Linked DNA regions of Nothobranchius furzeri. The protein of the gene in region 2 interacts with the protein of the main gene of each other region in a biochemical or structural test. Links are inferred from orthologs where the notes say so. Each region holds a gene or a part of one and is shown on either strand. Other genes may lie near its edges.

Region 1 (4,433 bases), on a different chromosome or scaffold from region 2:
AGTTTGTGAACGTCACATAACTACTGCTTCACCGATTGCCTGTATTGGCATGACAGCTGCCGTTTTGATAACACAAGTTCAAACAATTAATCCATTTGTTCAGTTAATAAAAACTTTTAATTTAAATGGACAACCATACATGTCTAACTCAAGTTTATAAGTTAACATAATGTAGAATTGTGTGTATGTTTAACAAGACAAAATGATTTTTCCACTTTGTAATCTAATAAGATTTGTTGTTTCGACTCATAATATAATATTCAAACAAAGTTATTATTTATGATATTTGTAAAACTTGACATATAGAGTTGAAAGTTTTCATTTAAGTTGACATGACTCAAGTTTTTAAGGCAGCTGTTGAACTTTCGTTTTTAAGTTATTCTGTCCTACAATTTATTACAGTGTACAGTTTGCTTCTGATCTTCATGCACTGTTTCTGACTGCTGGAACTAAAGCGCTTTATCTGTCCTCACAGTCCAACTGATGTGTGTGTCCCTCCCTCTTTTACCCTGCAGCTCTGGCACTAGATAAGACATGTCCACTGGCGCTTTGGTTTGAAAAGGAAAGTGTGCCAAAAACGACAAGAAATACATTTTATTATAGGGGTAAAAGATTAGTATATATATTTTTTTAATAAATCATATTTTTCATTCTAGAACGTTCTATAGTCATTCTAGACTCGTTAAGCTTTGCTGGCAAATTTCTGAAGAGAAAAATGTAAAAATCAGAACTTTAAATTTCACACATTATCTTTGAAGGGTAATGTTCCTCTTCACAGCGTCTGCGTAAATGTACGAGGTGTGCACATTATTTAAATTTGAACATTACATTTCCTTATTTAAAGCAGAAATTCAGCACATCTGTTTAATGTTGAGGAATGTGGCACAAAAATGCAGCACAAGCTCAATTTGAGATGATTCTAAATTTTCTTTATTCATTTATTTGCAAAACAGCAGGCCACATATTCTAGAACAAAACATAAGAATATATTTTTATTTGCCTTTGACATGAACAGTTTAGATGTTTTACTTGCATTAATTACAGACAAAGCAAAGGAAGACATGATGGGCAGATAAAACTACCAGCAGGTGTTTTTATCAGCTCAGCTCCTGCAGCAGATGGACTCATTAGTCAGTCACGACCATCACGACCCTCTGCACGACTCACAGACCAGCAGCTCTGCTGTCGCTTTAAGACCCGTTTCCCCTCATTGTGAAGCGCTGAAACAGGAAGAGAGAAGCGAAAGCAAAGCCCGAAGGGCCCCAATGTATTTAAACGCGCTGCTGCTGCAGCTGCTGGCCACTCGGACACGCACTACTTCCTCCCCGCAGAACCCTCCTTATCGAACCGCACTGGCGCGGTTCTTCTAGTCGCTGTGGGACCTGCAAGGCATGGAAGTGTTGCTGCCTCAGGAAATGATGACAGCGTCCTCCTCCATCGGCGTCTAGCTGATTAGAGAGGGAGCTGTTCTTGTTCTGCATCTGTTGGAAACAAGGGAGCTGCTTCTTGAGTTCGCTTTTTATTTCCAGCGATCTGAAAGTGGTTTTTACCAGGGGTGCAGGTGCAGCGCGCCTTCCAGTATCCAGATCAGGCTCGAGAATGACTTCTACCATAGAGAGGAAAACACTGGAAGCAAACGAGTAAGTCAACTAAAATAAACACATTCTATCAGAAAACTATCCCACGTGCAAGACGATGAGATCAGATGTTTCTGCTTATAATATTCATAAAGAAAATTTAAGGAAAAATTAAAGAAACGGATGTAAGGTAAAACTAAACTAAACTACATGTTTAGAGTCAGATGTTGCAGCCATAATGGGAACAGGAGTTGTAACATAAGTGTATTAAGGCACACTGTAAAGGCGTTGGACCAAGGTTGAAACTCGCTTTACACTGGGAATGCTGGCCAGAGCATTACTTAAAGCCCCTCAGAATATAAAGAAGATGAGTCATAATTGTAGTTGTGCGCCTGGCTTCTTTATTATAGCCCATAGGTTAGGACAAGTAAATCAGGATAGCAGTTGATAGACATGATAGCTCATGGGTGTGGTTTTCCTGCAGAATGACAAATATGACGTATGTATAACTTAACCTTATTAAACAATTAACACACATCAGAATATTAACCTTCCGCCACCACATCATCAGTTAATAACCATACTAAACAGTCAGAGGTCACTAAATCATCATCATCTGCTCACATAAAGCCACTATATTAAGGTTTGTCAAGTTAACCTTGACGTCGTCGGTCAACTTCCGGTCTGTAAACAAAAGAGTGCTTTTATTTTCCCGACTGGGTACTTCCGGTGGCGGGTTAGCTTAGCTCAGATACTCTGAACCAACTCCCATTCCCGCACTGTAACAACACCGCTGTACTTCTCTACATTCCCGTATACTCATACAAAGCACATTCATGCCTCCTCGTACGACACCAGCAGACCAGCGCCGATCGGTCCCGAGGGAAGGTATATCAACAGCGTTTTCACAGGGACAGGAAATGCATAATAATTAACTCGATAGCCATAATCAGTCCAACATTGCACTTACTGTTCATCCACGCACACACTCGACCATGTCCCGGTGCTATCCCCCAGGCAGCAACATATCGCAGAGAGGAACCCGGGACACAAACTAGAGCTACGTAAACCTCGAGAGATATGAACCTAAAGCCATTTTATCTCTATCTCTAGCTGGACTTCTGGAGCAGACTTCCGGCCAACTACAAAATAAGCGTAACAAAGGGAATGTTTTCCCAAAATGCAAGACTTTGAGGGCTTTTCTACAATAAGCCAAGATCAAAAATCCATTCATTTTTGTCTGCTTATCTTGGGTCAGGTCATGGGGGGTAGCAGCCCAACTAGAAAGTCCCAGACTTCCCTTTCTCCTGCCATTTGGGCCAGCTCTTCATGAGGAAGCCCAAGGTGTTTCCTGGCCAGACGAGAAACATAGTCCCTCCAGCGTGTCTTGGGTCTTCCTGTCTTGTAGTTGGATTTACCCAGAAAGCCTCACCAGGGAGGTGTCCAGGAGGCATCCTAACTAGATGCCTGAGCCACATCAACTGGATCCTCTTGATGTAGAGAAGCAGCGGATCTACTCCAAGCCCCTCCTGGATGACCGAGCTGCTCACCCCATCTCTAAAGACACCCTGCAGAGAAAACTAAATTCGGCTGCATGTATTCACAATCTCATACCCAGAGCTAGTGACCATAGGTGAGGGTTGGAACATAGATTGACCGGTAAATTGAGACGCTCAGCTTCCGGCTCAGCTCTCTCTTCACCACAACAGACCAGTACAACGCCCACGTCACAGCAGACGCAGCACCAGTCCACCTATTGATCTTGTCCTCCATCTTTCCCTCACTCATGAACAAGACCCTGAGACATGTAAACTCCTCCACTTTAAGCAGGACCTTGTCCCTGACCTGGAGAAGGCATTTACCTTTTTCCGGCTGAAGATCAACTGTTAAAAGATAGAAAAGAAATATTAAATATTACTTGCATATTTTAAAATAAATGTTTCAAAAGTTCTGGAAAAACATCTTCGTTGTTTGATCCGATCAAGTGTTTCAAGAATCCTTTTCACATTTTTAGTAGTAGCAACATATTATTTTTCATTTTTTTAAAGAAAATTCCTAAACAATATTCCTGATAGGTGTGTATGAGTCATATCTTACATCCTTTACTAACTCAGGACCAGTGGTGCTGCAAGATTGTCATGGGGTTCCAAGCAAACACTGCAGACTGGAAAGTGTGCTGCAGTTTATTTGAGCGTGGGAGTGGGGGGTGCACAGACAGAAATGTGTGGCAGAGCAGTGAGGGGGAGGAGGAGTGCCCTGTTGGGTAGTGTGAGACAGCCCAAGTTATGTCAAATTACAGCTTTTCACAGTCCCATAGAGCTCCGGGAGTTGACGTCACATCTCCCGGCATGCAACAGTTCAAATCGAAACGGCGCCATATTGGCATGCAGAAGCCGGCAGCTGGACTATTTGTTATTGTCAGAAAATTCAATCAAACGGGAAATATGGTAGATTCCTGTTGTGCCCCAGGATGCAGAACAGACGCGGACGACATAAGGAATGAGTCATCTACAGGATTCCCCAAGTTCCGGAGCGCCGCAAACGTTGGATCATTGTAATAAAACACGTTAGTGACCGGGATAAAATGAAGCTGTGGGATCCCGAGAGTAAAGGTTTTCGCTTATGCAGCGACCGCTTCATATCAGGTACTTAAACAACGTGTCCTCAACTGTGTATGGTATTTATTTTAAATGCTTTTATTACGATTCTTAGTGGGCTTCCTAAACTTATTTTGGCGTGGCTTTTTCTGTCTTATTACTCATAGCAACAAGTGAACATCACGTAAAACGTTGCCTCGTGAGTTCTGCGTGCTGCCGTTTACGTGTTTTATGATCACAGCAGTTAACCGGCTAAGCT
Region 2 (4,466 bases):
CTTATTTTCAATCATGCGGTTCTGTTTGAAAATCGATTAAATTAATTATGTTTTTAAAAAAATTATCTGACTTTTGTTTTCTATCTATCTATCTATCTATCTATCTATCTATCTATCTATCTATCTATCTATCTATCTATCTATCTATCTATCTATCTATCTATCTATCTATCTCTCTCTCTCTCTCTCTCTCTCTCTCTCTCTCTCTCTCTCTCTCTCTCTCTCTCTCTCTCTCTATCTATCTATCTATCTATCTATCTATCTATCTATCTATCTATCTATCTATCTATCTATCTATCTATCTATCTATCTATCTATCTATCTATCTATCTATCTATACTGAAGATAGTTCTTAATTACTTAGACTGGATATGTTTGGGGTCACCCACTTTGCATTTTGTAAATGATCCAAATAAACGACCATTACTAAATGACTGAAAGCATCCTTTGTTTACAGCCTTTAATCACCAGCCTGACCTGCCAGACACGTCCTCTGTTTACAGAGAGCTATACTTCCCACAAAGACGCATAGGCTGGCTGGTCAGGCTATTTTTTACACCTGCCTAAGGTAATTATATATATATATATATATATATATATATATATATATATATATTCGTTTCACCTGCAGAATGAATATATTCGTTATTAGGGATGTACCTGCTGGCCGAAACGTCACCGTGATAGAGTGTCACAGTTGATGCTCTGCCCGGTTATCTGATGCCTCCAGAGCCAGAGGCCTTTTCTGTCTTTTTTTTTTTGTCCTTTATCTCTCCAAGCCACGACTACAAACCCCCAAGGGAGTGGTGGCCGGCAATTTATTTATTTATTTATTTATTTAGTTAGTTAGTTAGTTAGTTAGTTAGTTAGTTAGTTAGTTTCCTTGTTGTCTATTAATTTAGTTATTCATTATCAGTTGACAGAGTCGCTCCTTCAGACAATTATCCATCCCGGAGCAAGGGGAAAACTCAATGTAGGTTCTGTGATCATAAACAAATGAGCAAATGATCACGTGATTTTATCAGGTTATTGTTTCATAATTGGGCTTAACTAGTGCCTCCTTTTCTCAAGAGAATATAATTTAAGCGCTGGGCTCAACCCGAGCTTTTGTTTATATCGTGAGAAAATAAAAAAATAAAAACACCTTAATGCAGCTCAGGCAGTACAGTCTGCTGCCTCACGTTGTTACAGGCCGTTGCGCTGTGTCTGTTTGCTTTTTTTCATGGCTTGCCCTCCACAAGACTATATAGCCCACGACAGCCAAATAATAATGAATCATTTCATAAATAATGGGTTTAGGGGCTTATCGCGAATGAAGAGGCCGCTGCCGCGCGCTTATCTCACTCGGCCACATTGCGGCCTGTGTTCCGCTCCCCTTACAGAGGGAGCGCACTGGATGCGGCGGGGAATAACTCAGCTGCGCGCGCACACACGCACACACACGCACACACACGCACACACACACACACACACACACACACACACACACACACACACACACACACACACTGCTTAACAACTGGCTGGGAAAAAAAGAAAAACCTCAGACATGGATGACCCACTCACAAAATGGCTCCACAGTAACATCAACACGACTGGAACGGTAAGTGCCAAAATCACCTACCCATATTTAAATCGTTCTATTTTCTACTCCAAGTGATGCAAAATATCTACTATCGGAGTCGATTTATTGGTCTAATAAGAGAAATTATCCGTCTTTTTTTCCTGCGATCGGATGAGAAGGAATAACGGAGACGAGGCCTGCGGGAGAATCCCCTAAAATAAAAGTGCGTCTTTTCTGGATAATTGGTTGTTCGATTTAAAAATACATTCCGATGACGTTTGTCTTCTAATCACTGAAGAAACACCTGGTTTTATTATAAGCTTCTGTGTTGTTTGGTTATAATAACATAAGCATTCCGGCCTTTATGGAAGAGAAAAGCAAAATGATGTTTAACTGTTTTCTTCTGTTGCTTATTTTTGGTATTCTGTAATTATTAAGGGCAGACATGAAAAGATTTCGACGCATAACGGTTTTACCAAGCTCTTCTGGTAGTAATGTTTGTGTGAGAGTCGAGGATCTGCTTTAAAATACATTTAAATAAACCCAAACGTATCTCTTTGATTAAAGGTAACTCTCATCTGAACGTATATAAAAAGCTAAACTGTATAAAAACGTTAAATATAAGTACAGAAAACACACAAATAGATGTAATAGATTACAAAAATGTTTTAAATGTGGTATTTTGTGTTAAAGTGATTTCTTCATTGTCAAATCTCTGTTCTATAATAATGAGTTAAGTGAGCTATTTAAACCTAAACACACATTCCTGTAGGAAAAATGCCTCTTTTGTTAATTTAGCAGCAAAAACACATTAACAAAATAAAATGCAGCAGTTATTTATTGGCATTTGTCAGATAATTAGAAATGTGTAAACCCGTTTAATCACACAATTTGTCCAGATGTAGCGGTTTTTCGGGAAAAAAGTCGATTAATTATTAATTTTTCCTCCAAAGACTCCCAAGGACATCAAACTGCTCATCATTTTCGACGTGTCTGCCACAAGTCATGTTCCGGCGATGAATTAATCGAGGGGCATTTTATTTAGGATACAGCGGGACTGCAATAGGGGCCACGGTTTCAAAATGATGGAAAAAAAGGAGCAGGAGCTTTGTCCTGGAAGTCCCGACGCAGGATCCGGCCCTGGAAGGCGCGAGGGCTCCGCCATCATCTCCAGACAGAACGGATACAAGAAGGACGAAGAGCCGCGGAGAGAAAAGAGGGAAGAAGAGAATGAGGATGATGATGAGGAGGAGGAAGAGGAGAAGGGGAGGGGGGGTTTCTTCAAAGGGGTTGAGGAGACGGATGACGTTCCGCTGCAGAACTCGAGCAACGGGACCAGCATCAGCATCATCATTAACGGCGTTGCCAAGGAAACTGCCCCTCACAACGCCCTAGACCTGAAAAGGGAAGTGCCGGTGATCGAGCTCTCCAGGAGGGACGCTATAAAGGCGGTGCAGCGCAGGACTGAAAGCCATTTGGTGCCGATCACGGAACTTCGCAGACCTCCACCGCTGCCGCTACCACCGCCGCAACGAGACGACGCTCGAATGGTCCAACTGAGCCCAAACGCGTTTCCTGTCCCGGCGCGGGCGATGCTCTACAACCTGGCGCAGCCTCTTGCCGCCATCAACAGGTCAGGGAGAGATTGGCTATCACGCATGCTCCGTGTAATTTAAGTTTTCACCTCTGAAGTTGGATTAATGTTGGGTCTGTGTGGCCTTTTAGGTGTGAAGTAAAAGACACCTGAGGTGTAGATATTTGGATAAATGCTGTTTTCTCTGATACAGATGCATGTGTGTGTGTGTGTGTGTGTGTGTGTGTGTGTGTGTGTGTGTGTGTGTGTGTGTGTGTGTGTGTGTGTGTGTGTGTGTTTATGGTGATTTTAAAATGCCCATATCCTCATATTTGTTTAAAACTTGTGCGCTTTCTTTTCCTGCAGTCTTGGAGGAGAGTCAGAGCAGTACAGCATGTACCCCAGCAACAGGGTAAAGCGCCGCCCGGCGCCTTATGAGGTTGAACTCGACGAGGGTAGGCGCATTTTAGATCTTTATAAGTATGGTAAGATGCACTTCTGCTGTGTCCTCCTTCTGCCAATAAAATGTCCCTTCTTCATCTCCATTGTCATTCATCCACTGACATGGACCAATGCAGCTTCTGCACTGAGTGTTGCAGAAGATGCTTTATTAAAAAAGAAAATGATCCAGCGAGGAATGAAGAATGCCATTTCTGGCACAAATTATTTCCGTTTGTAGCCAAATTCATATACCTTTATATCATTAAAACATACCTTTCTCAGGCAAATTGGAAGTAATTTTGATTTGGAACATTTCTAATTGTTTTGCTGCTGCCCACTCCCAGCCACAGGAGAGGAGGATGGGGGTGCTGCTGCCTCCATGCCAAGGTTTTGCTGCAGAGTGGGCTGAGGGATTAAGATAGACTGGGTGTGTTCCAGAGGAAACAATAGCCCCAAAGACACCATTACTGGGGGTGGGAAGATCTAACTACCTGCAGTGAAGCATTTTATTATGCCTGACAAAATACATTGTACAGAGAGTGCTCAGTGGGGTGAACACAACCCCCTCAGACCCCATGAATAAAAGATTTCTTGTGTAACGTCTGGAAACTTTATGCAAGATTTCTAATAACCCATGGCTGTATGGAGGACAGCTTTGCAACTTTTGCTTTAGAAAATGTTGTCACAAATGTTGTGCATCTGTTTTCTGTTGGCTTTTTGCACCTGCCACGTTTTCTGTAACAAGCTTTATCTGCAGTGTCCTTACTGTCTCTGTCCTCTTCCCTGTTTTCCATTTATTCTGACAGCTGGCCAGCCAAAGATTGTCCGCCGCATCTTCACAAACAGCCGCGAGCGATGGCGGCAGCAGAATGTAAACGGTGCATTTGC

The links.
Region 1: the proteins of tal1 (region 2) and lmo2 form a complex in vitro, tested with the Homo sapiens proteins (2 studies listed by BioGRID). The link is inferred for Nothobranchius furzeri from reciprocal best matches to the Homo sapiens genes TAL1 and LMO2.

Annotation. Positions count from the first base shown.
Region 1 is NC_091744.1:61,982,982-61,987,414, forward strand, and holds the start of lmo2 (rhombotin-2), read left to right. Parts: upstream 1-1,453; 5' UTR 1,454-1,599; coding exon 1,600-1,640; intron 1,641-4,433. UniProt on the Homo sapiens protein: Acts with TAL1/SCL to regulate red blood cell development. Also acts with LDB1 to maintain erythroid precursors in an immature state.
Region 2 is NC_091751.1:54,506,108-54,510,573, reverse strand, and holds the start of tal1 (T-cell acute lymphocytic leukemia protein 1), read left to right. Parts: upstream 1-1,445; 5' UTR 1,446-1,553; coding exon of another isoform or gene 1,554-1,603; intron 1,604-2,517; 5' UTR 2,518-2,646; coding exon 2,647-3,197; intron 3,198-3,503; coding exon 3,504-3,622; intron 3,623-4,384; coding exon 4,385-4,466. UniProt on the Homo sapiens protein: Implicated in the genesis of hemopoietic malignancies. It may play an important role in hemopoietic differentiation. Serves as a positive regulator of erythroid differentiation.